Linked DNA regions of Arabidopsis thaliana. The protein of the gene in region 2 interacts with the protein of the main gene of each other region in a pairwise test. Each region holds a gene or a part of one and is shown on either strand. Other genes may lie near its edges.

Evidence for each region.
Region 1: the proteins of MOS1 (region 2) and MAD2 interact in a two-hybrid assay, tested with the Arabidopsis thaliana proteins (one study listed by BioGRID).

The regions. Positions count from the first base shown.
Region 1 is NC_003074.8:9,495,537-9,510,171, reverse strand, and holds MAD2 (DNA-binding HORMA family protein), read right to left. Parts: upstream 7,117-14,635; 5' UTR 6,941-7,116; coding exon 6,865-6,940; coding exon of another isoform or gene 6,861-6,864; exon of another isoform or gene 6,777-6,860; coding exon 6,761-6,776; exon of another isoform or gene 6,660-6,760; coding exon 6,529-6,659; intron 6,447-6,528; coding exon 6,326-6,446; intron 6,232-6,325; coding exon 6,128-6,231; intron 6,033-6,127; coding exon 5,911-6,032; intron 5,830-5,910; coding exon 5,770-5,829; 3' UTR 5,502-5,769; downstream 1-5,501. Other genes in the region: AT3G26000 (Ribonuclease inhibitor), read left to right, coding at 1,630-2,511, 2,651-3,130; AT3G25990 (Homeodomain-like superfamily protein), read left to right, coding at 3,469-3,991, 4,273-4,311, 4,591-4,719, 4,822-5,046, 5,124-5,326; AT3G25970 (Pentatricopeptide repeat (PPR) superfamily protein), read left to right, coding at 7,951-10,056; AT3G25960 (Pyruvate kinase family protein), read right to left, coding at 10,240-11,733; AT3G25950 (TRAM, LAG1 and CLN8 (TLC) lipid-sensing domain containing protein), read right to left, coding at 13,061-13,816; AT3G25940 (TFIIB zinc-binding protein), read right to left, coding at 14,230-14,304, 14,394-14,450, 14,536-14,604. UniProt on the Arabidopsis thaliana protein: Required for the execution of the mitotic checkpoint which monitors the process of kinetochore-spindle attachment and delays the onset of anaphase when this process is not complete.
Region 2 is NC_003075.7:12,725,599-12,743,915, reverse strand, and holds MOS1 (modifier of snc1), read right to left. Parts: upstream 11,239-18,317; 5' UTR 11,114-11,238; exon of another isoform or gene 11,050-11,113; intron 10,532-11,049; 5' UTR 10,492-10,531; coding exon 10,463-10,491; intron 9,965-10,462; coding exon 9,881-9,964; intron 9,798-9,880; coding exon 9,753-9,797; intron 9,660-9,752; coding exon 9,290-9,659; intron 8,752-9,289; coding exon 8,649-8,751; intron 8,246-8,648; coding exon 8,129-8,245; intron 7,905-8,128; coding exon 6,827-7,904; intron 6,746-6,826; coding exon 6,517-6,745; intron 6,408-6,516; coding exon 4,179-6,407; 3' UTR 3,865-4,178; downstream 1-3,864. Other genes in the region: NBR1 (ubiquitin-associated (UBA)/TS-N domain-containing protein / octicosapeptide/Phox/Bemp1 (PB1) domain-containing protein), read right to left, coding at 1-451, 544-693, 871-1,128, 1,232-1,355, 1,445-2,334, 2,693-2,725; TAR2 (tryptophan aminotransferase related 2), read left to right, coding at 13,222-13,469, 14,597-14,900, 15,040-15,320, 15,404-15,696, 15,780-15,976. UniProt on the Arabidopsis thaliana protein: Involved in the regulation of the chromatin structure and DNA methylation at the SNC1 locus. Regulates the expression of SNC1 at chromatin level.

The DNA.
Region 1 (14,635 bases), on a different chromosome or scaffold from region 2:
TTATTAGGTGATAGACTTTAGAATATTTTTCAAAATTTTATAATATCTAAAACCAATAACTTTTTATCTCAAAAAATAGTTGAAAACATAATTAAGAATTCGAATTTATTTTATTTTAATTTTGTTTTTCTAAATTTCGAATTTTGTTTTAATTTATGAATAAAACAACTTTTATTTTAAATCTGGATAAATTTGTCATCTTATATATCAAGAATTACAATTTTTATTTAAAATAGAAAAAGATGTATTTTTCAAATGAAAACTCAAAAACAAGATAGTTTTCAAAATCTCCCAATAATGAATTTATCTAAACCAACATCAAAACAAAAATAGAAAGAAAAAAAAAAGTAGTTTCAATAGACAAAATTAATTCTATTTAAAATCAACAAACTAAAAAGATACTAAACAAACATTTTACTAACAATAAAATATAATGTTTTTTACAATAATTAAAGTTTATTATACATATAAAACTGTCTATTGAAGATCTGAACGTTACAAAGAGAAATGCACAGTAAAATTAATATTTATGTAGAATTATTCATCGTAATCACATTTATCTTTTTATTTATTTTTATTTTGTTATTGTAATCACATTTATTTTTATATGCAGATAGATAAATATCATCGTAATATATTTAGCTCAAACACTTCTGGTATTAATCCATGTTAAAAGAAAAGAAAAAAAATCATATATTCCTGGTTTATCTTCATACTGAAAAATGACAAAAAAAAACAAAAAAAATGACACGTGTTTAAAGATTTTGACGATTTCACTCTAATCTTATCTTTCTTTTTTATTATTATTTAAGTTTGTTTAATTGATTTTGTCTCCAATAGTTTTTATTTTTCTCTCCCTCGTAAAATCTCAACCCCTAAAAATAAAATAAATTGAGATTTTTCGCACAATTTTCTCGTCGTTTCCATTATTTTCTCTCTTCTTGACTCGGTCGACGAAATTCACCAACCCGTTCTCTCTTTCTCTTTCTCTCTTCTTTGAATTCCCAAAGTGATTGAATCAAAAACTTCGTTTGATTACAATTCGATTTCCCCCACACAAAAAAAGAGATCTTGTTTTAATTTCGCGGCGAGGGTTCGGTTTGGCTTTCCCGTTGATCGCGTTGTTCTTCTTCTTCTTTGGTGATTCAATTTCTTCAATTCAATCAAATTCGTATCTTTCTTCTTCTTTGATAATGTTTAGGATTTAGGTTTCGTAATTTCTGAAAACCCTAGTTTAGTTTTTGTTCGAGAAAAAAGAAAAGGAAAACAAAAAAAAAAAGGAAAAATCAAATTTATTCAATTCATTCTTTTTGTGTTACCCAAATTCGGTTGTTAATACGTCTCAATTTCGAATTTCTTTTCTAGGGTTTTTTAGGGTTCCAAGGAAGCTCTCAAAATTTCTGGTGCCTAGTATTTTTTTGTTGCCATCTGAAATCAAGAGTTTCCTTTTTCTCTCCATAGATCTATTAATTCATCTTTCGATTATCCAAAAAAAAAAATAACTTTTTAGTTTATCTTCGGATCTGATCTATCTTCTTTAGGGGGTTTTGAGTTTTTCTAGGGATTGTGTACAAAAGAGGGATTTTTTTGGTTTTGTTAGGTTTAAAGTGTATATAGAGATTAATAGAAATGGCTTTAAATTTTTCACATAGACCTTTTTCTTCTCATCTATCTGAGGAACCAATGATGATAGCCAATGGGAATTGGTGTTCAAGTTTCGATAATGGAAGGAAGAATACTGGAGGAGATGCTTCTTCTGTTGATATACTTGATGTTTTGCCATCTGATCCGTTTGGTATGGATATCAACAATACTTTCACGGCTATTACTGGATGGCTTGAGGATTTGGAGGATGATTATAATAACCAATATGGAAGAAGAAGAAGAGATGACATTTGGATTGGTGATGGAAACCGTCAGCAGCTGTTTGCTGGATTGAGTTTCTTTTGGAACAATGCAATGCAGTTTCAGAGTAGTGGTTACAGTTATGGATCAGAGTCATTGTTTGGTGGGGCGTTTGATGGGTCTCTGTTTTCCACATGTAAATTCCCTGAAAGTAGTGGGGAAAATAATGGGTTTGGAGGGGCATTAGATGGTGATGGATCTTGTCATGGTGCTTTCATATCTGCTAGTAGTGTTGATGAGGTATTGAGCCATGAGAATGCGAGGAATGGTGAAGTTGTAGGAAGTAGTGATCGCTGCAATAATGGAGAAGAGGATGCGTATGTTCATCCAGCGATTGGTTTTTGTCTTTATCACTTGCGAGGGAAGGATCTTCTTTCAGTTAGTATGGTTTGCAAGTCTTTGCATACTACTGTTTGTGATGACACGTTACTTTGGAAGCATATCCACATTTGTCGACCGTTGAATGAGAAGATCACGGAAGAGGCTCTACTGCATTTAACTGAGAGGGCTCAGGGTACTATGCAGTGTTTGAGGATCGTAGATTGCTGTAGAATTACTGATGATTGTCTTAAGCGGGTGGTGGCGCGCAACCGACAAGTAGTCAAGGTGAGCTTCTTTCCTTAATTTACTTTAAAGCGTATTTGGATTACTAATAAGTAATATTGTAAGTTTTTATAGAAGTGCCTGGTAATTGAATTGATTTGTGGGATCCTATTAAAACCGAATGTTGTTTTGTGGTTGGCAGATTGGTGTGCCTGGATGCACAAGGATAACTATCGATGGTATTTTGAGCGTCTTGAGGGATCTGAAGTCTGCGGGAAAGCTTCAAGTGAAGCATTTACAACTTCGTGGCCTCTTTGGAGTGACTAAAGATCACTACGATGAACTGATTGACTTGTTGAACATTGACAATAAAGTCAAGCAGACTATTCAGAAGCCGCGTTTTTACCATAGAGGAGAAGCTTGTGTGTCCTGTGATGATGACCGGGCACTAGATATTGAGATGTGCCCAAAGTGTCAAAATTTTAAGCTTGTGTATGACTGTCCAGCAGAAGATTGTAAAGGGAAAAAGAAAGGTTCTGAGGAATGCCGTGCTTGTTCTCTTTGCATACAGAGGTGTTATCATTGTGGTCGGTGCATCATTGACACTGAATACGAAGAAATGTTTTGTTTAGAGCTTTTGTGTGCTGTTTGTTCGAAGCCGACCCCTAAGTTAACTCTCTAGGTATAAAATTCCATCTGAGCCTTTCTCTTCTCTATGATTGAATGACTCAGTCTCCACGGTTCAATGGAGATGATCTTCAACTATCTCTAGAACCTTTTTTTTTTTAAACAATAAAAATATGTTCCATTTCATATTTGTTGAACACTCTTATCTTTATTATTGGAGATCTATTAAAAGTTTGCATCTTTGGGTTGTTCTTGTTCTTCATCTAATAATCAAACAAGAGAGATCATTTATGTAAATTTAAGATAAGCTTTGACAAATAATTAAAGACTCACGCGCCTTTTATATTAATCTTTGACATCTTCTGCTATCTCTCCTTCTTCCTTGGAGAAAACATGTTTGTTTCCGATAACAACAATCCTTCACGGGACATAAACATGATGATCGGCGATGTTACATCAAACGGAGATCTACAGCCACACCAGATCATCCTCGGAGAAAGCAGTGGAGGAGAGGATCATGAGATCATCAAAGCACCAAAGAAACGAGCAGAGACATGGGCACAAGACGAGACTCGAACCTTAATCTCATTACGGAGAGAAATGGACAATCTTTTCAACACTTCCAAATCTAACAAACATCTCTGGGAACAGATTTCTAAGAAAATGAGAGAGAAAGGGTTTGATCGATCACCATCTATGTGTACGGACAAGTGGAGGAACATATTGAAAGAGTTTAAGAAAGCTAAGCAACATGAAGATAAAGCAACAAGTGGAGGATCAACGAAGATGTCTTATTACAATGAGATTGAAGATATTTTCAGAGAAAGAAAGAAGAAAGTGGCATTCTATAAGAGTCCTGCTACTACTACACCATCTTCTGCTAAAGTTGATTCCTTTATGCAATTTACAGATAAAGGTACAATCTTTAGCTTGGTTTTGGGGATTCTGATTGATTTGTTGCAGGTTTGGATAAAATTTCTTAATGGGTTTTGGTTTAGATTTGGATTGAGAAGATAAAGACTGATCTTTTTTGGTTTTAGTTTTGTTCCTCTTTTAGTGCTAAACCTGGTTAAAGAGGCTTTTGACCATTAATGGCTAATTATAAAGTTGTAGATTTGGTTTGTTAAACTAGATTGACTTTTTATAGTAAATTTGGGTTTTCTTCTAAAATTGATCTTTATCTTTATCTTCTTGTAGGTTTTGAAGATACTGGTATTTCATTTACATCTGTTGAAGGTATTGATCTCACATTTATTGAATCTTTGAGTGTATATATAAATGGTGGTGTTGAAATCTTTTTTAGTTGGGGAATTACTTTGAGAGAAATGGTTGTATCAGTCCTAACTTTGGGTAAACAATTGTGCAACAACTTATGATTCTCTTATAATTCAGTGAAATAAAAGTGAACTCATACCAAATTGTAGAATGTTAGTGATAATGTGAAGCCGATTTTGTTTGGTTTGTGGAAGTAGTGTTAGTCACTTTAGTCTTGATATGAGTTGTATCTGTATGCAGCTAATGGCAGGCCAACGCTAAATCTTGAAACGGAGCTTGATCATGATGGTCTTCCTCTCCCCATTGCTGCTGATCCCATCACAGCAAATGGAGTTCCTCCTTGGAATTGGAGAGACACCCCTGGAAATGGTAAGTAACCAGACAATCTAACTTAGAGAGAGCCTCTCCTTGTTTATTAAGCTTTTGAACTTTTATGGCAACTACTACTAATCGTTGTCATGTTTGAAGCAGGCGTTGATGGTCAGCCATTTGCTGGGAGGATCATAACGGTGAAATTTGGAGATTACACAAGACGAGTTGGGATTGATGGTACTGCTGAAGCAATTAAGGAAGCTATCAGATCCGCGTTTAGATTGAGAACAAGACGAGCTTTTTGGCTAGAAGATGAAGAACAGGTTATTCGCTCTCTTGACCGAGACATGCCTTTAGGGAACTATATACTCCGCATTGATGAAGGTAAATCCACTCTTTCTTCTATGCTATTCATCGAATACTCTCTGGTTAGAGGTTTCTCAATATCCATTTGAATTCAGGGATAGCCGTTAGAGTGTGCCACTATGATGAATCTGATCCGTTACCAGTCCATCAAGAGGAGAAGATATTCTACACCGAAGAAGATTACCGAGATTTCTTGGCTCGACGAGGATGGACATGTCTGAGAGAGTTTGACGCGTTTCAAAACATAGACAATATGGACGAGCTTCAATCCGGTCGCTTATACAGAGGAATGAGATGAGAAAACGGTTACTACAGAAGGCTAGAAGAAACCTTTTATTTTTCATCAGTCACTATAAATAGCTTTTTTTGATCCAAAATACTTTATTTTCATCAGTCACTGTACATATGCACCTCTTTTGACATGCCATTGTGAATCAGAGGAATTTGATTTGTTTATTGAGAAATCTCTTTTTGATCCAAGAGCCATAAAGTTTGATTGGTAAACAAAACGGTTCAGTACAAGAGACAGGGACAATGAAAAAGCTGATAACTTTTGAACAAAACACAACACAAGTACAGGATTCCAATTCTCATACAATTCAGAAAAAGAAAAAAAACAGAAGAGAAAACGATATAGGTGTGTGAATAAAGGATTCACGTGCCTTTAAGAACAATGAGAACTCCCAAAGAGATAAACGCAAGCTGAACAAAGAGCCTTGCATACGTGTGTCCCGACTTCTGTTACTCTTCTTCATCCCACTCGTCGTTCTTGTATGAGACAAGCGTGTCGACTTTGTGAATCTGCAAAGTATGAAACCACCAAAATACTTAGACATTTCAAAGTGTATAAATAAAGGTTTCAAAATTCTTCCTCCTCCTTACCTTGGTATCAAAACCGTGTAACTTAACCATCTGTGGATTAGCAATCAACTTCGGGTCGCTCTCGATCCAAGTGAATGGAACAGCCACATCAGTATCCGTATACGCCAATACATCAAACACACCTAATACAAACAACATGCACAATCAAAAACGAGAATCCAAATCAAACTAGTTCCGAAATGATGATCACTCAAAGTTCCTATGAATTGGTTCTTACATGTTTCATCAAGACAAGGCAAGTAAGTAACACTTGAAGCAACCTGTCTCATAATAGCTTGAATCTCCCTCATGATCTCCTTATCACTCTTCTCCCTCGACACACTAAAAAGTTCCATAAAGATAACATAATGAAACAAAGAATCAAAGAAAACAAACAAACTTGCGAAAGTATCAACACTAAAAACAAAAAACTGACCCTTTGTCAACAACTTCATTATCAGTCTCAATACGAAAATTCCACCTCTCCAAGACTTCACCAGTAGCTTTACTCATAATCACTAACACTACTCTCTGCAACTTCCCAGCTTCAAGCCATTCTTTAGACCAAAAACAAAATCAAGTCTCAGACTCTCTCACAAAAGGAATCATTGAATAAAAGTCTGACATTTGTAAAATTACCGGAGATCTGAGAAGTGAGATTAGACATGAAAGATTTGACGGATTCATCTTCAATAAGCAACATCGGAAGTCCATATTTCTTCACTTTCACAAAACTTTCCTCTGGATAAACTGCACGATTATACAATATACTGTACCCAGAAACCAATAACGAATCAATTTCACTGTAAAAAAATCACAGAATCGAAGATTTCCAGACACTGAAATTGAAAAGTTCCGATCCAATTCTCACCTGTTCGCAGCGTAACCTGGAGGAAGAAGAAGAAGGAAAAAAAAAACATCAAATCGAGAAGAAGATATCTGAAATTGAGTCTAAGAAAAAATGAAGATACGTACAGAAGAATTCGCTGACGATGGCAGCAGATCCGTGTAAAGTGATGATATCTTTAGCAGCCGCTGTTTTGGACGCCATGGAGTCTAAGGATCGGTGATTTTGAAAATTGAATTCGCAAGTGTTAACAGCGTCGCTTAGGGTTTTAATGATTTTGAAGGGAAAAAAAGATATTTGAGGGAAGGATTAAAAAGAAGGAAAGAAAGAAAAAGAAAAAAAAAGGAATAAGAGCGTAACGGCTAGTCTTCCTCGGAAATGCACTTGCAACGGCTAGTTTGGGTTATTATAGTTTAAGGTCGAATCCACTAATTTTTTTTAAAAAAACAATATAATATCATTACCAGAATTTTTAAAATATCAAATATAAAAAAACAACAAATTATTTTTAGCCAATAGCAACATCTCTACAAACCATTGTAATAATTATTATTTTTGGTTTGCAACACATTTTACATTTAAAAGAAATACACCAAATATTAAATATATAATAACTTTGTTTTAAAAATTTAATAGAAAAGTCCATAGTTTTCTGCCATACGGATTTAGACTCGCCATGTGGTTTTTAACTTTTAAGCCGTATGTCTCTTTGATAAACGAATGAAGCATCAATCAAAATTTTAAGAAGCCTTTTAAGTGTTGAAAGGTAAATTTTGTAGTTTCTATTGGTAAATCGACTCATCTATGACTTTTTTTTTTAAATAGATTTCAAATATACTTCATATATATGTATATATAAATTTATGTCGTGACACCCATGACCGAAATCTAGAAAAAAAAAAAAAAAAAACTAAGGTATTTTTTTCCAGTCTAACTGAAAAAATACAATTTTACAAATAACTCAAACTTCAAATGTGTTTTGATTTACTTAATTAAGCCATTATTAATCCACATAAGGTTATTAACACAAATTTATCAAACTAACTAGCCACTTGATAATCCATTACTAGGTAAATTCAGGTATATATATAAGTTAATAATAAACTGATTATTTGACCAAAAAAAAGCATAATTAAAATATATTTTTATACATAAATAAAATAAAATAAACTCTCTTTGATGTTGACATCATATGAACACAGAGAAACAGATGAATGAAAGCGTTGTTAGCCTCTCTACTAGAGAGCTCTTTAAACTCTTTCCAAAAGCTTTCACTCACTCACTGTTACGCTATTAAATGTGGTTCCATCTCAGATATATACGTATCCAATCGAATTTTGGATTCTTATATAAAATTTGGCTTCTTGGGTTATGCCAATATGTTGTTCGATGAAATGCCTAAGAGAGATTCCGTGTCTTGGAACACAATGATTTCTGGGTACACAAGCTGTGGGAAATTGGAGGATGCATGGTGTTTATTTACATGTATGAAGAGATCTGGATCTGATGTTGATGGGTATAGTTTTAGTAGGTTGTTGAAAGGGATTGCTTCTGTGAAAAGGTTCGATCTTGGAGAGCAAGTGCATGGTTTGGTTATAAAGGGAGGTTATGAGTGTAATGTGTATGTTGGAAGTTCGCTTGTTGATATGTATGCGAAATGTGAAAGAGTTGAAGATGCTTTTGAGGCTTTTAAGGAGATTTCAGAGCCTAACTCTGTTTCATGGAATGCTTTGATTGCTGGATTTGTGCAAGTGCGAGATATCAAGACTGCTTTTTGGTTGTTGGGTTTGATGGAGATGAAAGCTGCTGTGACTATGGATGCTGGCACTTTCGCTCCACTTCTTACTTTGCTTGATGATCCTATGTTTTGTAACTTGTTAAAGCAAGTTCATGCTAAGGTTTTGAAACTCGGGCTTCAACACGAGATCACTATATGCAATGCGATGATCAGCTCTTATGCAGATTGTGGGTCAGTATCAGATGCAAAGAGAGTTTTTGATGGCTTGGGTGGCTCAAAAGACTTGATTTCGTGGAATTCGATGATTGCAGGTTTCTCTAAACATGAGCTAAAGGAATCTGCTTTTGAACTGTTTATTCAAATGCAAAGACATTGGGTCGAAACCGACATTTATACTTACACCGGCTTGTTAAGCGCTTGCTCTGGCGAAGAACATCAAATTTTTGGGAAGTCTTTGCATGGTATGGTAATAAAGAAGGGATTGGAACAAGTAACTTCTGCAACAAATGCATTGATCTCTATGTATATTCAGTTTCCTACAGGCACCATGGAAGATGCTCTGTCTCTATTTGAATCCTTAAAATCTAAGGATCTTATCTCTTGGAATTCGATCATTACAGGGTTCGCCCAGAAGGGTCTCAGCGAGGATGCGGTAAAGTTCTTTAGCTACTTAAGATCCTCAGAGATAAAAGTCGACGATTACGCCTTCTCTGCACTTCTCAGATCATGCTCGGACCTAGCAACACTCCAATTAGGTCAGCAGATCCACGCGCTCGCCACTAAATCAGGCTTCGTATCAAACGAGTTTGTAATCAGTTCTCTGATCGTGATGTACTCAAAATGTGGCATAATCGAGAGTGCACGAAAATGCTTCCAACAGATTTCCTCCAAACACAGCACAGTAGCTTGGAACGCAATGATTCTTGGATACGCTCAACATGGTTTAGGCCAAGTCTCTCTTGATCTCTTCTCCCAAATGTGTAACCAAAACGTGAAGCTAGACCATGTAACCTTCACAGCAATCCTTACAGCTTGTAGCCACACCGGTTTAATACAAGAGGGACTCGAGTTGCTTAATTTAATGGAACCGGTTTACAAAATCCAACCTCGAATGGAACATTACGCAGCTGCAGTTGATCTCTTAGGCAGAGCAGGGCTCGTGAACAAAGCGAAAGAGTTAATCGAATCAATGCCGTTGAATCCTGATCCAATGGTATTGAAAACTTTCCTTGGAGTTTGCAGGGCTTGTGGAGAGATCGAAATGGCTACTCAAGTGGCTAACCATTTGCTAGAGATTGAACCAGAAGATCATTTTACGTATGTTTCGTTGTCTCATATGTATAGTGATCTCAAGAAATGGGAAGAGAAAGCAAGTGTGAAGAAGATGATGAAGGAGAGAGGTGTAAAGAAAGTTCCAGGTTGGAGCTGGATTGAGATTAGAAATCAAGTTAAGGCCTTTAATGCTGAAGATCGATCAAATCCTCTTTGTCAAGATATATATATGATGATTAAAGACTTGACTCAGGAAATGCAGTGGCTTGATTCTGATAATGGGGTTGATGCAGATTCACTTCATGCTTAAGAGAAAATTTAGTTTAGGCCAAAACAAAACTTGTGATATAACTTTATTTAAAATTATTAGTTTGTTTGGGTGTTATTCAAAATTTCAACAACTACGACAAATAATGAAACTGAAAATTATGTTTAAAACTTTATTATCATGTGACCAAAAACAATGGTTAAACAAAAAAAGTTAAGAATTGGATTACTCGACGCTCACTATCCTGACAATAGATGAACCATCAATCTTGTGCAAAGCCACAATGGAATCTCCAGTCTTACAAATTCCCTTCGTCTTGGCAAATCCTATAGCTAATCTAATCATCTCCTCCGTTGAATCTCTAGCTGAACATCCCACCACCGGAATAATCCCACGGTAAATCAAACCACGTCTCGCCACATGAGCTACCGAGTCCGAGCATTCAGCAATCTCTGGCATAATCACCGACAGAATCGGAACGCTTGGCCTGTATTTAGCCACAAGCTCCGCCGTGTAACCGCCTCTAGTGAGAACAACGATCGCGGACGCGAAAACACTCCGCGCAGTCGAAACAGCTGAAGCAGCTAAGCTCTCGATTGGAGATAACGGTAACGAAACCATTCCTAGGGTTTTCTTGTGGAGAATGTCGTAATCTATGAAATCCTCTGCTTCTTTGCAGATCCTTGACATTGTTAACACGGCAGTCTCAGGGTGAGCTCCAGCAGCAGTTTCTCCGCTAAGCATAACGCAATCTGTCCCGTCAAGAACCGCGTTTGCTACGTCGGTAGCTTCAGCTCTAGTCGGGCGAGGAGAGACTGTCATGGATTCAAGCATCTGTGTGGCTGTGACCACTGGTTTCCCATGAGCATTAGCCTTGTTGATCATTGTTTTCTGAGCAAGAAACATCTTTTCGATTGGTATCTCCATCCCAAGATCTCCTCTAGCCACCATGAAAGCATCAGAATTCTCCAGGATCTTATCGAAATTCATTACTCCTTCTTGATTCTCCACCTTTGACATAAGCATGATGCTCTTTGAGTGCTCTCCAAGTAATTTCCTTACTTGGATTAGGTCAGATCCTTTACGAACAAAAGAGAGAGCGATAATGTCGATTTTGTTCGGAACTCCCCATTGCATAATATCTTCTTTATCTTTCTCAGTGAGTGTTGGGAGATCAACTACAATTCCAGGAAGATTAACGTTTTTTCTTTCTCCAAGAAGAGCAGAGTTCTCGCATCGGCAACGAACAAGACCGAGATACTTGTCACAGGACAAGACATTTAGAGAGATTGTTCCGTCTGAACAAAGGATCACGTCACCAGGTTTGAGATCCTCTGCAAGTTTCTTGTAGCTCATGGAGATAGTGTTGGAATCTCCTTGTATCTTGTAATCAATTGAGATGGTGATCTCTTGACCTTGCTTTAGCTGTATCGGTTTGCCTTCTTTGAGAAACCCGGTTCGTATCACAGGACTCTTTGTGTCGAGCATGACGGCGCAGAGGATACCAGTGTTGTCCATGGCGGTTCTGAGATTATCGAGAGTTTCTTGATGGTAAGAGTGAGAACCATGGGAGAAATTGAACCGGGCTACGTTCATACCAGCCTTGAGAAGCTTCTCAATCATCTCCACCGATCTTGAAGCTGGTCCAAGAGTACAAACTATCTTCGTCTTTGAACGAAGAGCTCCATTGGTTGCTTGTCCACCAAGTAACATCTCCATTGTGGAAACTTTTGAAAGATCGCTAAGAAAAATTTAAGAGAACGAACTTTGAAAGACAGAGGAAAGTAAGAGTTTTTGCTTGATGAAAATTATGATGAGCAAAGCCATGTATATATAGAAGGAGCGATATGAGAATTTCCATTTCACGTTGAATTATCGAATTTCCATTTTTGTATGGTTTTGGCAATAGTTTTTTTTCTATTTCGAATTTAACAAATATTTTTGAAGGAAAATGTTAAAAGTTAGCTGAAAAATTTATAAATTTTCAAATTTAAGGTTTTTACTTTTTACATAAACACGTTTTATTAGGTCTGAGGAAACTGTGTACAACTTATGTTTTCTTCAAAACTGTCTAGTGATTATTTGGGCCATATCTATTGCAAGTCAGTGAAATATCATTTGAGCCAAAATTGTGGAAAGGCCCAATAAAATCCAAAATATTAAATCTCATGAAGATTGCGGTTTGCGTAGTTTTTTTTCTATTTTTGCGGCCAAAACCCCTTACTAAAAATAAAATGACAAGGTTTACCAAACCAATGGAGATAATTACATCCACTTGTGGACAAAATTTTCAACTTAAATGTTTTGTTTTTTGCAAATAATAGGTCAGATTTGAGTATTAAGAGCCACATCTCATTTAAAAATGTCATTCAAATGTGTCTTGGCGTCTTGGCTAATTTAAATTTTGTGTAATCAATCTATTTGAATTTCTTTATTTTCCTGACGAATAAGTTTCTCACAAATGGGAGAGTCCATTCGTGAAAAATAAACATGGAACCAGCAAGAGACCTGGTATGAAAAACAAATATATATTTTGTGAACAGAAAAAAAAAACATTATCTAAAAACTCTCATGAGGGGACATGACACATTCCTCTTTTAATTTGTTTTCTTGGTCAACTCCAATTTAAGTAAACGTTTTAATATAATTTACCAAATATGTGAGTCATCCAAGCTATCCCATGAGGGCCAAATGTGGCGTGAACATTTCTAAAACTGTTTACTTATACCATGAGTTAGGCAACTTTTTAGCCAAATCATATATTAAAGGATGTTGACATCATTATATAAAAATTCAAAACAAAATTCAAGGGCTGAAAAGAAAAGGTTTAAGCATTCAAGTATTGACAAGTATAATTTTACATAAGATTAACATATATATAATTTTACATAAGATTAATTTTACAAACAATTAAGAAATATTTACAATGCAAATGACAATAAGATTTAGATTCACATAAAAGTACAATTCTGTTAATATTGCATTACACAAATACAAATCAAATAAATTTATATGAAATTTGCTAAGAATCTATCAATTAAACAATTCACTTGTATTTCTTGCTAGAGTTATTCTCCCTAAACCAATCAAGCCAATTACGTAAAACCCACAAAATACTAACCAAAATAGCAAACCCAATCACAACAAGCCACGATAACCAAGCCCACCGTGGAACCACTCCATCCGCCGCACCGCTACCGTAAAACGTCGCCATATCATACAAAACCACCGGACCAGCCAATCCACGAACCACAGTATAAAAAAGATAAAACGGCGGAGACAAAAGCTCTCTCACTCTCCTCGCTAACGCGACGTCGTTTTTTCTATACCCGGTGATCGTCCAGACGTTCTGACACGCGCTCGTCGCCTCCGCGAGTATCAAGAGGAGGAGAAGCCCGTGAGCTCCGTGACCGACGGCGAATCTACACGTGGCGAAAACGTATAGGGTCGCAATGTGGTGGAGGATGAAGATGAAGTCGTTAGGGAGGAAGATTAAGTAATGGAGAAGATCAACGGTGAAATAAGCCATGCTGAAGTCGAGTACGTTTGATTCCACGGCGGTATTGGGAGAAGCGAATGAGTGTACGTCGGCGCGTGGAGTTGTGAGCAGCGCGTGGGAAGCCATTATAACGGCGGGAGTGCCGTGGAAGAGTGACATTAAGCAGCTAGCGCCTAAATGTGATGATTGTTTCCATGTACGGAAAACTAGGAAATAGCCGATGGTGTATACGGCGAGGAAGAGGAGGAGAAACGACGGGAAAGTAGCCAGAAAAGACGAAGGATTAAACGACGCCGTTTCCATGGTTCTTGTTTTGAAACTGTTTGAGAGGTTTAAATGTTTAAGTTGGGTTTTTAAACTGAGAGGTGGGAATGATTTGGTGTGGTGATAATGTACAGTGCATCTACGATAGTCATCGTAGTCAACGGATTTGTAGCCGTTGGATTAAGGAGTAAGATTAGTTTTGACGTGCAAGTGTATTAGTGAGCGTGCTTACAAGTTTTGCTCTGGTGCTTATTTGGATATTCTTTTCGTATTAAAGTGATAATATTTGTCAATAAGTAAGATTAAAGAACACTACATGACATTGCAAAATTGAGTTGGTTTACATATACATAAGGTTCTAATGATGGCACTGAATCATTGAATATGCAACATTAATGTAAGAAACAAAACTGGTATGCTCTGTGAATATCTGAATCACAATGATGGAAACATCAACCTTCTGTGAATCTATGAGCACAATTGGGGCAAGTGTAATATGTTGTCTGTCCTTCATCAGCTGATCTCGTCTGCAAATCCGATGAAAACATTTACTTTGAAATTGAAACAAGAAGACAAGAACTTGAAACCACATAATCAAAAAGCTTGAGGACTATACCTGTCTGGTTGTGTATACAAGCTCAGGATGCTGGCATTTCTCGCATGCCTTTTTGATCTGCAAAGAGAAGTATCATCAAAAATTACAAGTCATGGATTCAGAAAAAAACACGTACATAAAAATCTGTTTCGTATAAACAAACCTTTGGTAGCTCAGCTTCTGCCTGCGTTTTTTCACCAAACAATGATATTCCTAGTTCTCTTCTGATATCCTACCAAAAGCAAAGATCATGATGAAATATT
Region 2 (18,317 bases):
AATCTATCTCCTTGAAACCCATTTCCTCGAGCTCCTTGAGCATGGTTATCTCCACGTCATTCTTTTCTATATCCTCCTGAAGAGGAACTGGCACGTCTTTTGTAGTAGATGAAGAACCACCAGACAAGACCTCAACAGCAGGCATGCTTGGGAAGTCGACCATGTTAAATGAAGAAGATGAAGATGAAGGAGAATGACCGTGAGGGATAGCAGGATGAGCTTCACCAACCAAAAGGTTTTCTTTTTCCACGGCCTGTGTTTCACCAACTTCGCCCTCTAGATCAGTACCTTTCACGGTCCCAGGATTGACACTGGAGCTGCCAGGTTGAGCTGACTCATAATTCATAATCCCTAGAAATTCGCTTGGAAAATTCTCATCAAGGGAGGGGGAGGCATTAAGGTTCAGTCCATGAAACTCATTCACAACAGAATTCTTCAGAGATGCATCAACCTAACCATGCAAAAAGAAAAAATGTATCAAACACATATGATAGAAAGAGACAAAGAATTAAAGGACAGAAGCTGCACAAATCTAGTAAGTACATGTATCAACACCCAAACACGTTGCCCAAACTTAGCACCGTCAGAGGTAGCCATCCTCCAATAAGAAATGTATCGACCAGGTAACTCTGGTGCAACAAAATCAACTTTGACGTCAAGTTCACTATAGATAGGCACACCCTCCTTTGGAATCTGCCATGTGTAAAGAGAGAAAAAAACAGTTAGTATTATATAATCAAGCAGCTATAGTCACTTCGTGAAGAAAACAACCTAACTCAAGCCATCGAGTGTAAATTCAAACAACATAATTGCTCTGTTAGTGGTAAGAATCGAGCTAAAAGAGTGAAAACTAAGGAAATTGTTTCTAACCTGTAAATCAACTGACAAGGAGTTGCAGAACCTGTCCCCACCGATCCAGACAATCTGTGTGCCCTGTGGCCACACCAGCGAACCACTGTTCCTCATTTTCCAAATCTTAGTAAATGGGGCGGATGGAGCAACAACGGTTCCATCAATTACATTCACATCAAGGACAAACCGACTGTCTAGTTTAGGGCGAGTACACCTGAGAGGTGCACCTCCATTGGTTGCTCGTGGCACAGGGTGGCTCAACCAAGGATTAGGAAACTATACCAAAAAAAAAAGGGTAAGAATTCCTCATAGCTATCAGAGAAGACACATAGAATAAACAAGAAGAAAAGTAATTATAAACTTAGAAGAAGAGCAATACTTGGGTAAACGGTCCTCTAAAAGGATGCAGATGTTGAACGGATACAGGCTTATCCATTCTTGTGTAATCCCCCTCGTTACCCATCACCGAATAGCAGATGGTGCACAGATCATAGTCTTCTTTACTGCACAATATTCACAAGCGAAACATATAAGCACAATAAGTTCTAGCATGTTTATAGTTTCTAAAGTAGTAAGTAGAAGGCATCCTTACACTTTCGACTTAAATCTAGGCCCAGTAATTGGAAGAACTCCACATCCGTCACAACGGATGCCCTTATGGAATACACCCAATGAAGTCCAGTAATCACCATTGGTGCTCTTTTTGGAATGACAAACACGACGAGGATGCTTGTTGAGGTTAACTGGATTTGGACAGGAGTAATTCATGGTACTGCCACTAAAGGGACACTCGTTGAAATTAGCACCCAGTCCAGACGAGTTTGGTACATGACCAGAAGTCTTTGAATGAGCGCCAGTGGGTTCATTCAGATTAACAGGTTTCCTTCCGGTCTGGGTCCTCTCAGAGATATCCTTCTTTCCACCAGCGGAAGGAACATCCCTGCTCAGGGAAGCACCTGAAGAACCAGGCTTGGTAACAGGTGAGCAAGGACTACTTTCCTGAGGAATTGAGAGCTGCCCTAGCTTGGAAATGCAATCAAGCATCTCACCAACTACAGGACTAGAAGTTGAGGCCTTGGATGCAAGGTCCATGTACACCTTTGATATGGTATCACGCATCGGGTTAGGTACAGCCATCAGAACATCATTTATACCCTTCTGGATTTTGGAAACCGGGTTAGGCATACCCGCAGGTGTGGAACTCCCACTACTCTCTGGAGCAGCAGAGTTAGTGGACACGCCAGCGTTCACATTGATCTTTAAGAACTTAAGACGCTGATTAGTAACATCAAAGAGATCGTTGTCATCAACAAGGGCAACCACATCCCCATCCTCATCAGAGTAAGTCAGACTCAATTCAGCATCCGCAGAGAGGTTAAAGAGAGCAGCGATCTTTTCCTTAAGACCAGCCATTTCAAGATCAAGCTGTCCATTAGCTTTAACAGGCACCCTGAAACGCCTAAGCACACCTCCATAGCTCACCTACATAATCACAAACAAAATTAGTATCACTTCAATGAAAAAAATGAAAAAAAATTGTCGAAGAAATAGATTACGATTCTAATTACGATAACTTATAGTTTTAATCATTGTTCGGGTATAAGATTCAAGCAGATACTGCTAAGTATGTCTGGAAAATTTTCGAATTACACTTAAGATTATAATACAGAGACAGAGAGAGAGAGAGTCGATCCATAGCGAAATTCAAAAGGAAAGGACCGATTACAAGCAACAAAATCAACAGAAACGAGACGATCGCCACGAAAACCCAGAATCACCGACAATTACTGTGAGAAAACTGACGATTCGCAAATAAAGAAAGGAAGGTTGTATCTCTAACCTTGACGACGAGTGCGTTAGCAGTAGACTCCATCGGTAACGGAGATCAGATCAGCTGGAGAGAATTAAAAGGCAAGCGAGAAGAAACCCTAATTGAAGAAAAAGAGTATCTAGCGAGAAAAAGAGAGAATCGGGGAGAGATTTATCTTAGAAGAAGCGTACCCGTAATCCGCTTTTCTCGTAAACAACCAAGAATTTAGACGGTCGCGTTTTATACTATATATCATTACACAGAATATTTATTAAAATAATTAATTTAATGGGCCCTTTTGTTTATTTAATTAATTTCTGACTTAGCCAACAAGATTTTGACTTTTTTGGTTACTACTGGCTTATCCAGAAAGACAAATCAAACTAACATCCCTAAGTTAAAGCCAAAAATATCAAGAGATACGAGTACATATAACTAGATATTTTATTTTTCATACTAACATTTTGAAAATTGACCAATTCGAGTTCTTATAAAATACTACATCTTTTATGTTTTCTCCAATAAAATGATCAGATACTATTTTATTTTATTAAAACTTCAACTCTTATGCCGACCACAAAAAATAAAAAAACATTTTAAACTCTAATTTATGAAGTTTGAGAAACAAACACCACCAATTCCAAAATCCAAACTCTTAAAACTCTTATGTTTGCTACCTAACCTCATATAAATTTAGTAAATTTAATTAGATATTTTCTTATTATTACGTTTTGTGAATATAATTTATCATATGAACTTTTTCTGTACATTTTGGTGCGTTCTAATAACTTAGTAACATTGATATACAATTTTATAATATAATAGTCATTTGAGACATTCGACATTCGACATACAAAAAAAAAAATATGAGATTCTATATGGCTATATGCAAGTGAAAAGAATTAAAGTGTGACTTGAATTACTAGCATATCATGATGTGATTGTGTAGTTGATGACAAGAGAATATATGGAATAAATAATTGTTTGTACAATTAATTTAGACAAGTTTCAAAACGCATACATTGTATCAATATATCATATATTGTTTTTATATGTGATCATGACAATAAAATATTAGAATAATAGATATAAATATATATATTATACTAGAATTGATATTTCGAGTTATAGATAAATCTAATCATAAAATAAAAAAATTATATTAAATAGATAGGAATTTATCAAAATGAACATCAAAATCAACCAAAAAACATAATCATATTTTTTTAAGCAACTTTAAAAACAAAAATACTCATGAGTATTCATCTAGTGTATACAAAAGGCTACTACAGTAGTTATAATCATATTCAAACAAGTGACTGAAACATATAATAATAAACTCTCAAGACAAAGACTTTTTTTTTTTAATCTGCCAATACCTCCTCGGATAGGTCTCCTCTCAGCAATCTCCCAAGCTATGTGCCTACGAATTAGCTTCCTCAATCGCCATATCTCAAAATGCAAGTATCCTCAGCATGGCAGCTCTTACTACCTAAATAACAATAAGAGGCCAATCTTAGTTTCTATCACCAGTGAATCCATGACCACCGTTTCTCCCACTAGTACCCCTTTGCTGTTGGTATCCACCCTGCCTTTGCTGCCCCTGTCCCTTCTCTCTGTATCTTGGACCTTCTGTCTGAGAACTCTCTTTCGATTGTTCTCGACTACGTTCTCCATCATAAGTATGAGACCCAACAGGTTTGTATTCATAATGCAGATTTTGCTTCTGTCTATCTCTGTTTGAAGGTGGCCTCTGATGGTGATGGTGCATATTCTCTTGCGCCGGTAAACCCCAACCTCCTTGTGACTCCTGCCCTCTTCCAAACCGTCGACCCTGCCCTGTGTTCTTTTGGAACATACTATTCGGATTTTGCTCAACCTGGACCTCCTTATTGGTAGATCGGTTTTGCAACTGGGCTTGTGTATCAGCTGATGTCGTTTTTTGTTCTGTAGTAAACCCTTGATGCTCGTATCCAACAACATTTTTTTCCTGAGATCCATAAGGTTTGTCCCTTGTACTTTCACGACCACCATACTTACCTGTCCTATTAGCTGTATGCCACACATGATCTCCAGGGACACGACCTTCTTTTGAAGCAGCAGGCAAATCTGGTTGGCTAAACCCATGGCCAGAGTGCTGCGTATGAGCTTTATTGAAATCCCTCTTATTGCCTTTTTTAGGGTCACCATAGTTGCTTCCTCCATCCTTGTTGCTTCTTGAAGCATGCTGCCTGCCGTGCATGCTCATTCCTTGATCTTTTCCAACAGCACTGGATTCCATTTCTTCGGCAGCAGAGTAATGCGTTTCAGGAGTCATATACCAGCCATCGTTCCATCCATCCTTATTACATGTGGTTTGATCCTTGGCAGCAATTTGTTCGGTTTGCTTACTAGAGTGATAGTTCACTGTTCCTCGGATGGGCTGATTTGAGGTTACAAATTGTCCATCCTCCAAAGCTTTAGTAGGTGCTCCAGAACCTCTCTGGTGCCATGATGCATGTTCTCTACCATGCTTTCCCTGCCTACCATTCCCATGTCTTGACTTTGAAGGAGACCCAGATTTCCCTGCAGTTGAACCAGAAGGTTGGAGAATTCCTGTACCCTCACCTCCACGATTTTCTTTCTGGTTTACATTCTCCGACATATCTGGAGCAGAGGTTACTAGATTTTTACTGACGATTTGCTCAGCCATTTCCTTTACTATAGGCTTCGGTACATATCTTTCAATTTCCACTCTTTTGCTTTTAGAACTAGTCTGTCCTTGATGCTGACTTTTTGAAGAGGTGCCAAACTCAGGGACAGTAGTCTGACTCCCTCCACCAGTGGAAACATCAGCTTTTTGCTGTGGATGTACTGGAGCCCAAATAACAGCATTGTTGCCAGAAAATTTCTCTGCAGGCTTATTTACCAGTGAGTTTCTTTGAGTCCTACGCACATGTTGAGATTTCCAGTTGTTTTTAGCTCTGTTTTGAGACTCTTCATTAGTGAAGGAACTGATTTGTTCAGACGAATCACCAGACACTTTGATATCCAGGCTTGGAACTGAAACAGACCCCAACTCAATTTCAGCTGCCCTTGCCCTAGCAGTCTCAATTGACTCATCTCCCGATTTTGTTTCTTTTCCAACGGCAACTCTTGTAGTATTCATAGTTGCTGTCTCCTCAGCCTTGTGTTTTTTCTTACCATTCCTGTTATTTTTTCTTTTCGGGAAAGTTGACTCAGCTGAAACGGTTGACGTCGCTGGCATGTCTGAGTTATTGCTTGAGACACCTTCATTAACAACCTCAGGAGACGGGACAACATCAAACACCTCTGCAGTAGCAACAGAGCTCCCTGTCGGTTTTTTCTCAAATATAATATTTTGCTTCTGCTTATAACCCAAGCGCTTCTGTTTTGAGGCACCGCCATCACGTGGAAGATTATCCTGTTGGGAAGGGCCCACATTATTTGCATATTCTGTTGAAGTCCTCGTGTTTTGCGTTGTGTTTTTTCCTGATCCTCCAGTAGGTTCTACGGAATTTGTAGCATTAGATGAATGAGATCCAGGATCTGTTGGCATGTCAGCCGGAGAAGCATTAGATGCAGCTTCCATGTTCTTAACTGAACCCTCCTCATATATTTGGGAACGTCTATTTAACTCTTCTAGTTTTGCAAGAGCCTTAGCCCGCTGATCTCTCGCTCTTTCTTCCTCCTCTTTCTGCCTCTGTTGAGCACGCTGCCTGGCTAACTCTCTCATCGTAGAACGCTTTTAAGGGAACATGGCAAACACTCAGTCAAACCAAAAAAGGATGACTACAAACAAGAGATACATAAAAGTATAAATAACAACCAGAATCATATGAACTAGTTTATACCTGGTTATCCTTTGGGTCTGCTGATATTCCCGACCCAGGCCTCCTGATGGACTCGGTATCCAAAGAGTCATCGACATTAACCTCGCGAAAGCTTTCTGTGTTTGTAGCTAAAGTTGTATGGGAGGAGCCTGACATAACAGTTGTCTTCTGCCAAGCATCATTGCCTTCACTGTTCACTATTCGTTTGGTCTGCGGATCTGCTCTGCCTTGAGTCTGTTGAGTAGGTCTCCTGTAGGTACTAACATCAAAACTTTCCCGACATAAAGGATGGCATAACTGGCCGAAACACAATTGAAAAATGATAACTGACCTGAATATGCTAGTTCCACCCATAGCTGCGGGTTCAGCATTCTTGTTTGTGGCAGAATCACCTTGATTATAGTGTGATGAGTTCTTACTGTCACTTGCATGACCAGTTCGATGATTTCTGGCTGAAACTTTATTTGCAGAGTTCCCAGAATTGAGTGTACGTGGTTGGCTTTCCTGCTCATCTCTATTAACAACAGATGACGAATTTTGCCAACCATCATTAGTTCTAGTTTTTGCATTTAAGCCCTCGATTTTCTGAATCAAACTAGGATCTCCAGGGGCAGCAAGTTCTGCTTTGACTGGTTGTACTTCACCACTTGCGTCATTTCTGATTTCTCTCCTCTCGTTTCTTGAAGTTTGCATCTGTTGAGCTATCTTCTCTGCATTCGGGAGCCTATTTCCAAGAAATTCTTCCCGCTTTGCATTATCTTCCCCAAACCTCCCATCTTGGTGCTTTAGGAGAACCTTGTATGGCCTTTGTGTTTCTTGAGAATGTGATGACTCGTTCCGTTCCAAAGACACTGAACTTCCAGGCGTATCATATCCACCTTGACCAGAATGATTGTTATAAGCATGCGGACCAGTAGGCCTACCTGCAAAAGGTAGGTCTCTGTTGCTGGGACTGCCATACCCCATGGGAGGACCATAGTAGCCTTCGTGTGGCGCTGGACCAACATAAAACCCAGGCCTAGTCTGCATCCTTGGGTGGACATAAGAGTCAAGCATTGGAGGTCTGAACATTCTTTCATTATTAGCGTGATTACCCCTAGGACCAGCCCCATGTCCAGGAGCAGGTGGAACTTGCGTAGGATAAAATGGAAAAGGATCCATGTGAAAACCCCCAGGACCCATTGGGGCACCATACGGGTGGTTCCCTCCGTACCAGCCACCTCCTTGATGATTATTTACTGGAGGACCACGCCAAGCATCATACCGAGGAGGAAAATTAGCATTAGGATAAGATTGTGAACCACGTGAGTCCAATTGCCCTTCCTCTCTACAATGTCTAGGTGCATCTTCACTGTATGGTTGATTCTCTCTTCTCCAGGAATTGGCATCCCCAATCCGGTCATTAGCTTCTGCAAATAAAAGACAAGATATGGTCAAATATAGTGTCCGCGAGAACATCCACTAAAAAGATGTACGGGGAATAAAGCAGTAAGAAGAATTCACATGAACACCTGTGAGGGTAACATGGCCCTCTCATAAGAGATGATTATAAACATAAGTAACTCTCGAAATGAGATGCCAACATCTGTTGTATATCCCCAAAACATAGAAAAATAGGTTTGAAAGTAAGAACCTTCTGTGCAATCTACACCTTGCCCTTCCACAGATCTTCCAGACGAAGATGGAGGACGAGCGTGAGGTCCAGCATCTGCAAATTTGTAGTTTCTAAGAGCCATGTCTAACGTATCTCCTTCATATAAGCACATCACATTCTATCTAGGTAATCCTAAAATTCTCAGTGGCACATATTAGGAGGTCATCTAAGATCGAAAAAGTGGTCAACCAACAGCAAGCCAAAAAAAAAGGTCATTCCCGAAAGTTTTAACTTTGCTGAATATCCGTGTAGATAAACTTCTCAACAGAATTACATTTAGAAGTACCAACTTTCAAAATGAACCCGTCTGTGCTAACGTCACTCCCTTGAAGGCAAGGACGACGAGTATAAGATTGAATTGTGTACAAGTTGAAACAATTTTTTTTTCCTAGTTTACATGCTGATCGTACTTTTTGAAAAGAGCAAAGAGAACTATTCTTAAATCAAAGTACTGTAATGCATGGATGACACAATAATTTTTACTGTTAATAGATGGTACCTTGTGGCCTTGTACTCTTTTCAGAAGTGTCCTTTTCAGCACCAAGGGAAGGAAAATCTCCAGAAGTCAAAGAAAACCCATCATTCTTTGATGGAGCAACTCCCTGTAGAAAACAATGAGAAGTCTAAGAATGAAGATAAATTTCATGGTAGATAATGCAAAGGTGGGTAAATTGTACACAACTATTCTTCAAAAAAAACCTTGAAGATTGAAGTTTGCCAAATAATAATACAAAAACCCTTCCATCAAATTCTATTTGCCCAACCAGAACTCGAGACTTATTGGAGACCATGTGCCACTCAGTTGTCAGATTATCTTACGCACTACAAAGCATTTCTCTAAGAGAAATAAGTGCCCTATAATTTGACAAATTTAGCATCCTAATCTTGTTCCCATAGCAAACACGAATGATGTATCCAGCTATTAAAGTTCTATCTAGATTGAATATCAATCATTAATCCCAAAAAGTAATTACCATTCACAGTCCCAAAAACATAAGAACTTGCTGTGTGTTTGTTGTAACTAAGCACAAGTGAAGTAAGAGAAGAGTGACATGGAGCTTCACAGATGTAAGGATAAAAAAAGATGCTTAGCAGAGTCCCGATAAATATTAGAGACGACTTTAAAGGGAAGAACCATACCAACTTCTCTGGCGCCACATGTTGACCCCATGTTGCAGAAGTCTCTGACACGGGTTCAGCAAATCGGGATAACTGGGAACTTCCTGGTCTTGTGTCTGCACTATGTGGACGCTGTAGTGCAACTGATGGCTGATTAGATGGAAACACCCCAGATGCTGATGAAGGCCGCGAGTTCGAATCCCATGCAACAGAAGAAGAAGAGTCATGTGCTTTGTTACTATCGGCAGTTGAAGGTCGAGTGACACTTCCACCAGAAGAAGGTCGATTACTGAGGTGGCTTGGTGAACCAGGGCCACTTTCAGTTCGTGGTGACAAGGATGATGTCCCCCAAGCATTCAGTGATGATTTACTGCCCCAACTAAGTGTTCCCCTAAAATAGATGTCCAGAAGAAAATTAAACCATCTAAAATTTGAGGACGAAAAAGAATGAGGGAAATAGCATCTCAAACAGGTACAAACTTACTTTGGAACAATTTCTACATTTGGGTCAAGGCCTTGGTTCTCTAACCTTAAATTCAGAAGAGAAGTGTTCAGGGAACGAGATTATACATATATATGAAGTCTAAATGTGATCATGCGCTCATCAAATACCTTTGGCTTGGTAAGTTAATCGGTTTTGGAACAGCAACCTTTCCCAATATAGTCATGCCACTTCTTCTTGTAGTACCCCATCTGCTAATATCCAGCACATGTAATTTCTCATCATCACCACAGAGGATACAAAGCTCTTTAAGTGTAAATGAGCAAAGTATAAATGATTATACAATTTATTAAAAAAACGATCAGCTCTTTACATATGTTTTCTACACACATTTTACAACTTTCCCTTCTTTTAATCTAAATGGTGATGTTGGCATGTTGCAAATCAATAATAATGTTGAATAAAATTATTACAAATACATGGTGAATGTCTATCATGCAAGCAAGCTCTTTCAAAGAAAGAAAAACCACACCCTGAGTTTCCTTCTATACCCCAGGCACATATAGTGATTCTATATTTTAACAACAGTTGGAATATACAGCACAACGAAAACAAGTAATTCATATGAAGAAAAGGCCAAATCAAAAGAAAAATCATGCAAGTAACGTGCAAAGAGGCCAATATATAACCCATAATCCAGTATAAAAACATAGAAAAGTTCATGACAAAGATAAAGTTGAAAGAAGAGAAACCTTCGATCTCCTGTCGTGCTAGAGGTCATTATAAAAGCAGCTACACGATCCAATTACACCACTTGAAACCTGTAAGTCACATACAGAATCAGATTCACAAATGAAATTTGAAGCTCAAATCCCAAAGAATCAAACAAGACCGACACTGAAGAACTATTGCTATAACACTGCTACCGTGAAATGTGTTGCAGAATCAGACTGCCTATACAAATTCTCCAACATGAATTGAAATACTTTCTAAAATTCACCATCATAACAGAAAGACAATGTTCGACAATCAAATTGGTACAGAAACCTAAAAGTATGAAAGATCGTCAAACTGCGGAATCAAAAGAGGTTCCAGACTAAATGACCGCAATACTAAAAAAACAATTGACGTATTCCCAGAATGTTGACAATTTCGCAATCAACTTGCTAGAACAACAACAGCAACAAAAAAAGAGCTCTGAAACATACAAATGTCTCCAGAAATGTCAATCAAGCTCTACAAAAGGACCCAAATTACTTCAAAATGCGATAATTCTATAAACTCATCACTCGATTCCTCTGGAATACAAAGGGGAAAAAAAGGTAGAGAAGAAACTGACCAAAGGGGATTATAGAGAAAATCTGCTCTCTTTTTTTGAATAGAGAGGGGGGGTCCTCGCAAACCCTAGATATTAATTGTGAGAATCGAACGAAGAGGGTGCAGATCGGATGTGTTCCTGGGCGATGAGGGAAAAGGAAGAAGGGGAAGATGAAGGAGAAAAGGAAGGATCTGTGGGAGAAAGAAGAAAGTGATGATGATTGATGAAGATGAAGCTTATTACGACGACGTTCAACGGATTGGTTGAAAGAGGAGAAAGCGTCGAAGTTCAGGGCTGCACGGTTTTACTCAGCTTTTCCTCTCTCTCTTTTTTTTTTTCCTGTGAATTGTAAAATGAATGCCGATTAAAATAAAATAGAGCGAATAAAGGATCACCTATCTCCAAAAAACAAAAATATATATATAAATTAAAAGAGTAGTATTATTCATTAACATCATTTATATATTTACCTACCCATTTTAAAAGATAGCCATAGTTTGACAAAAAAAAAAAAAAAAAGGATAGCCATAAAAACAATACTTAACAAAATAGTTTCCTTTCTTTTACATTTTACGAATGTTAAAAATGGGGGAGAAATTGAATTATGTGGTAGGTTCACTTCTTCATTTTAAGGACATGTTTAGGGAAGTAAGACGATGGCAGGCATGATCAAATGAATAAGGTTTTTTGGGTAATGCTTATGTTTATCTTCCAAACCTCTCATGTTTCTTTGTGGAGTACACTCATTCTAAGGAAAGATCATATATTAATCCGGTGTTTTGTAATCGAGGGTTGGAAGTGTTCGTACATGCACTGTGTACATGGTGCTAGAGGATGATCTTGAGCGGATTTGAGCTCAACGCTAGCTTATTTTTTTTCAAATTTTAAAATTTTGTGTAAATTTTATATACAGAAGATTTTAGATAATGCATAGTTTGATTTTTATTAATTTATTACGAGTAGTCTTAGCATATTTTAAATTTTCGTGCTTTTCTCCAAATTGATACTTAAGAGTTAGAGAGAAAGCCAACAAACTTAAGAAAGTTAGAGAACGAGACACTTGAATGCTTACAAATGATGATCCCACCCCATTTTATACAACTTCACCTTTGATAGAATCATATTCAATAAACAGTAATGTATGAAAAGAAAACAAAAAAACAAATATACTTGAACAATGACCAAATATAATAAACCTCTTGGATCCAGCCCATATGATCTTTGCTAAACTCTTGAACAATTTGGGCCGTGGCAATATGTAGATTTTGGTCCATGGATCATTTATCTATTTTAATGTTACCCTTGCAGAGATTATTTTCTTCTCTTTGTTACTTTCACAATCAACACCCCAAAATATGTTATTACAACAATTTCACCCTAAATCGTTTTGTCCAAATGTGTAAATTACACTAAACATATATAGGGCAAAATATTACATAGTCAATATAATGAGCCTTAAGCTAATCTAATTAGATGTGAAAACAGAGAAGTGACGTAAATCTAGAAAATATTGTTACACATAAAGCATTCACCAGTCTTGTACTAGTAAACAGAGATCCTGAATAAATTCAGTGTCTCACTCGGTTCATGTACTGTCGTTTCCAAGGTCTGCCATTGACAAACCGAAAAGCTGAAACTCTTCACGCCAAAGCCAAAATACAATAACTTTTTCCCAATGGGAAATATCTTTTATCGTGGAGAGAAACAAACAAAGAGCTTCGACCTAATTACACATTCTTCTTTTTCAGTTTACATATAAAAAGCCTTCTAGCGATCCTTTCACTGTGGCCAATTTGTTCTGTGACCTTTTGATCCTCTGCCTGCAATTCTACAGGTATTTTGATAGGTAGTCTCAGTTTAGAATTTGTCTACTAGGATTAAAAATTCAATTTCTTAAAATCGTGATTGGTAATATTTATGAGTTAAGTACATGAGTTAGGTTCGTAATCCAATATAAACACATTGTTATACATACCTTTATCTCTTGAGATTCTTCAAGGGTTATTTTAATCTCTTACAAAAATCATAACTTCGAATATCAGCCAAAAAAAGGATCAGTCTCGTTGGACACCACTTGTTTGTTTCCTTTGTTTTTTTTAAAAGAGGTCTTTATCCAGCTATCCCACTCTGCTCTTCTTCTTTAAGCATTTTGCATTCTTGTTTCTTGGTTTTGTGTTTTAGTTTTGAGAGAAAATGGGACAGATTCCGAGGTTTCTTTCTTGGAGGAATATGTTGGTCCTCTCGTTGGCCATCAACTTCAGCTTGATTCTAAAGATTTTGAAGGGTGATAGAGAACGAGGAGATTCATGGGACAGAACAGCGTATGTTAGCATATGGCCCGTGGTATCCACCACGGCTTCAGAATCTTCTTCGTTGTCTTCAGCATCTTGCAACTATAGCAAGATTGAAGAAGACGATGATAGAATTATCAATCTCAAATTGTAAGTTTCTACTTACTCTCTTCCATGTGCTAGATTACAATTTTCTAAAGAAAGTTCTGTTCTTGTCACTATAGTGGAATTTTTGATTGCTTGTTTATTTTTTCTTGGTGTTCAGAATAATAAATGTGTATTAATGGCGTATCCTCTAGAATCTTTAGAGAAATTTCTCCCTTATCCTATACTTGATTATATAGCAAGGAATCTAAGATTATCCTTTAAGCACGCAAGTGAAGCTCCAAGCTTTTATGCAATAATCACCATTCGATTTTAAATGCAAACATTGAAAGAGGGATAAAATAGTCAATCTAAAGGTTTTGATTCTATTTTCCTAATGATCTTTCATTGACTTGCCTATATTTTCTAACAAGTTTTCTATAGTTCTGTCTTGGTTCTGCGTATGCTTGTTTTCCTTAACGTGCGCCGCTAGTTTGAATATTTGGTTCTGTTATTTACTTTGTTATGAGTCTTATGACTCATCAAACACACAAAAAAACTTTGCAAATTGATCATGGTGGTCCATTTGTTTTCTTTTTAGGGAATTTAGATATATTTGTCATAAATGTCAACTGTTAAGTATTAAAACTTAAATTGGAAATGGGCCATTCTTCTTGTTAATGAAAGTAAAGAAGAGAGTGACTTTTTTTTTTATAATAAGGATTTGGTATGTTAGAGGAAAGGATGGTAGTGAGTGATGTTTCTTTTTGGATGCTCGCAATTAATCTAGTGTAGTGATAGCCAATGGGTTTCAAGTTTGAAAAATTTAGGTTGAGGAGACACTTGGTACATCAGAATATAAAACTCTTTTGATTCTTTCCAATTCCATTGTCAAGTAAAAACTTTTAAATAGGGAATAGTAAAGAGAGCCCACATTGTGGTGACATGATTCTGAATACATAAATATTTCATGTCCTTTGAGGGAATCTAAAGGACTAGTCTGGTGATCTAGTACTTGACCATGTTTTTCACTGTTGCAGAAATAAGAAGGTGATGTTTTATGTTCTCCATTAAATAAAAGGACCCACTAATTCTTTACCTCTATGCTCAGCTCTCGTTGACTCAAAGATTAACTCCTGTCACACGGTAGAATGTATATATATGCTAATCTTGATGTGTATATCTCTATGCAGTGGTGATCCAACGGTGTATGAGAGATATTGGCAGGAAAATGGAGAGGTGACAACAATGGTGATACCTGGATGGCAATCTCTTAGCTATTTTTCAGATGAAAACAACCTCTGTTGGTTTCTTGAGCCAGAGCTTGCCAAAGAGATTGTGAGGGTGCATAAGGTTGTTGGGAATGCTGTAACGCAAGACCGCTTCATTGTTGTTGGCACTGGCTCAACACAATTGTATCAGGCTGCTCTCTATGCTCTCTCCCCACATGATGACTCCGGTCCCATTAATGTCGTGTCAGCCACACCCTATTATAGTGTGAGTCATATTTATAGCCATCTCAAAACTATCTGTATGTCTTGTTAGACACGCCATTTTGCTGGATACTAGTTTTTTTTTATAGTTATTTTAGCACATATATGTGTCAATCTAACATGTATAACCGGTTTGGTTGCAGACATACCCGTTGATTACAGACTGCCTCAAATCAGGTTTATATCGATGGGGTGGAGATGCAAAGACGTACAAAGAAGATGGTCCATACATTGAACTTGTTACATCTCCAAACAACCCTGATGGGTTCTTGAGAGAATCAGTAGTGAACAGTACTGAAGGTATATTGATCCATGATTTGGCTTACTATTGGCCACAGTATACACCGATAACATCACCAGCTGATCACGATGTTATGCTCTTCACTGCTTCAAAGAGCACTGGCCATGCAGGGATACGGATTGGGTAAGTACAATCTTTTGCTTTTGTGGGAGCAAAACAGAGAACAAGTCTCTTAAACGTTACATTCTTGTTCATTTAATTTGCAGATGGGCTTTGGTGAAAGACAGAGAGACGGCTAGGAAAATGATAGAGTACATTGAACTCAACACGATTGGGGTTTCAAAGGACTCACAGCTTAGAGTAGCCAAGGTTCTTAAGGTTGTGTCAGACAGTTGTGGGAATGTAACGGGCAAATCTTTCTTTGACCATAGTTATGATGCTATGTATGAGAGGTGGAAACTATTGAAACAAGCAGCAAAGGATACTAAACGTTTCAGTGTTCCTGATTTCGTCTCTCAACGTTGCAATTTCTTTGGCAGGGTCTTTGAGCCACAACCAGGTACGTATAAAGAAAAACAAAAGTAGAAATGATTGTAGAACCACTTCTTTTGTTTTTCATTTGGTTTGGTGTGTTTTGTGCAGCATTTGCATGGTTTAAGTGTGAAGAAGGGATAGTGGATTGTGAGAAGTTTCTTAGAGAGGAGAAGAAGATTCTAACTAAAAGTGGAAAGTACTTCGGAGATGAGCTAAGTAATGTGAGGATAAGCATGTTGGATAGAGATACTAACTTTAATATTTTCCTTCACAGGATTACATCTTCCTTTAATTCAACTTTGTAAGTGCATATGCATGTGATTATGATCGATTGTCATAACTTGCAACAAGTGTTTTGCTCCATAAATATTATTGGAAATTTGAATAATGTGAAGGATCAATCAAAGACCTATTCATCAAACCATCTCTGATGATATGAATGAGCAAACATTCATTCACTACGACACAACCGAGAGTTTGTTCAAGCGTTGTCAGCATTTTGGTCTGGAACTTTGTAATCTCGAAGGATCAGATCCAACATCTCATAGCTTTTTCAGTATTAAATTCCAGCCTTAGGTAATCCTTCAGAGTCATATCAACATTTTTGCTACGGAAGGATCATTGTCGCTACCTTCCATTTTACATTTGTGTCAGCTTTATTCACAGCACCGTTTTTTAGCCGCATCAACTTTCTTTCTTTGTATAATTCAGAAGAATGAAATCATCCAAAATCATTTATATTTCATAACAAAAATGTTTTAAAAAAGTTGAACATAAAAAAAAAAAAAAAAAATTCCAAAACACCAACTAAACTCTCAAAAATACCAAATTGTGAAAGTTTTCAAAATATAATCTCTTGTCACTCATTCATCATACTCTAAAAGTTTAACTTTCATGGTTTGTATGTGAAAAAATAAATTAAAACATTAAAATAAAGCTTTTAGAAACTAATATGTATCCACAATATACATATGGATGAGGACAATGGTGGATGTGCACAACCACACAAAAACCATTCACGTGATTGTATCTGCAAAATTCATCATCAACTTTCTCCTGACTACGCCACATCATATTTGTTTGTGGAACTATTCCATCGTCAAACGGCCGTTCGTCTTTTGTCTTTTTCCACAAATCTACTAGCTCCCTTCTCTATCAACTTGATCGTCTACATAACTCTACTTGTCTTTTTCCCTATTCACAAATTAGTCTTTTTCTTGAGATTAGTAATTATTTTGAGGCCAACTTGATCAGAATCTGAGTTTGAATTCCAATTATACCCATTCTTGAATCTTAATTGCATGTTATATTTGTTTCCAAACCTATTCATATCCTTACTCAAAACACCATGTTTGTTGTTTTCACTTTGTTTGATGCATAGCTCATAAAACATCAGCGACACAATTTCTTCACACAAAAAGATAAAAGGGTTTATAACCAAGATATAAGTTTCAAAACCTTCACCATAAGCAAGAAGCATAACAACTTCAACTTGTATACATTTTTTTCTAGTTTTGTACTAACTAGATATAGAGACACAAAAAGAGAGAAAACATGATTAAGAGTTGGAATTAATGATAAGTTGTAAATATATCTCACATAAAACGTGTTTGAATTCCATTTTAAGGATAAATGATAGTACTTCAGATCTTAAATGAATTTGTTGCAACTTGCACCATGATTTCTTTCAAACCAAAAAACAGGTCTAGACCGGGTGGTCCACAGATTTTTGGCTCACAGGAATATTCCTACATATAACACTACAACTGTACAACATACATATAGAGCAGTAGATAGTAAATTATACCGAATAAAAAAATCTAGTTACATTTCAAGTCACACGAACTGTTAGAACGGTTCATGTTAGGCTCAGCATATTTCTAAGTAATAAATTTTGAAATCGAAAAGGCTTTTCTAAGTATAGCCGGACTGAATTACTATATGAGTCGTGGACTTACCGGTCCGACGGTGAACAACTATTGGTTCCGAGAATGGTATTTCTGCGTTCAGAATTCTGTGAGTACGGATTAATAATATATTTATACTGTCAATTGTCAAAGAGCCGATTTCCGATTTAAGAAACTAATTTGTTTGATAATGAACACAAACAAGAAACCAAAATTAAGGCCGGATTTATACCCATGACACGTTATCTCTACGTCCAATGCTCTTGCCATTTGCTGTGATCCGTAAGTTCCCAAAGACACTTTTTCTTTCACCACAGTCCCACTTTTGATCTTTTTTTTTACAGTAAAGTCAGAACTCAGAAGTACCTTGAACAAAACCCTAAACGCACTTTTAATATTAATCACTCTCAAACCACCATTTAATTATTGTAAATCATATACTCCAATGGAACATACTTTTTTTACTGTACTTTTCATCAAACTCTAAAAAGGTTATGGCTTATGGGTGTTCTTTTTGGATGAAACTATCTATATATGAATATTATTCTAAAACAAACAAAAAAAAACGTAAAAAGTTGAGACTCCCTTTTATTAAGCGGCAGGGTTTGTTGACCACACTCTCATCATCTATCTCTTTCTTATCTTCACTGTTTTATCTTTTCTTTCGGATTAAATTAAATAATTTTTTCCTCCATAATTTATACTCTTAACTCTCATGAATTATTGGTCTCTCTATTAT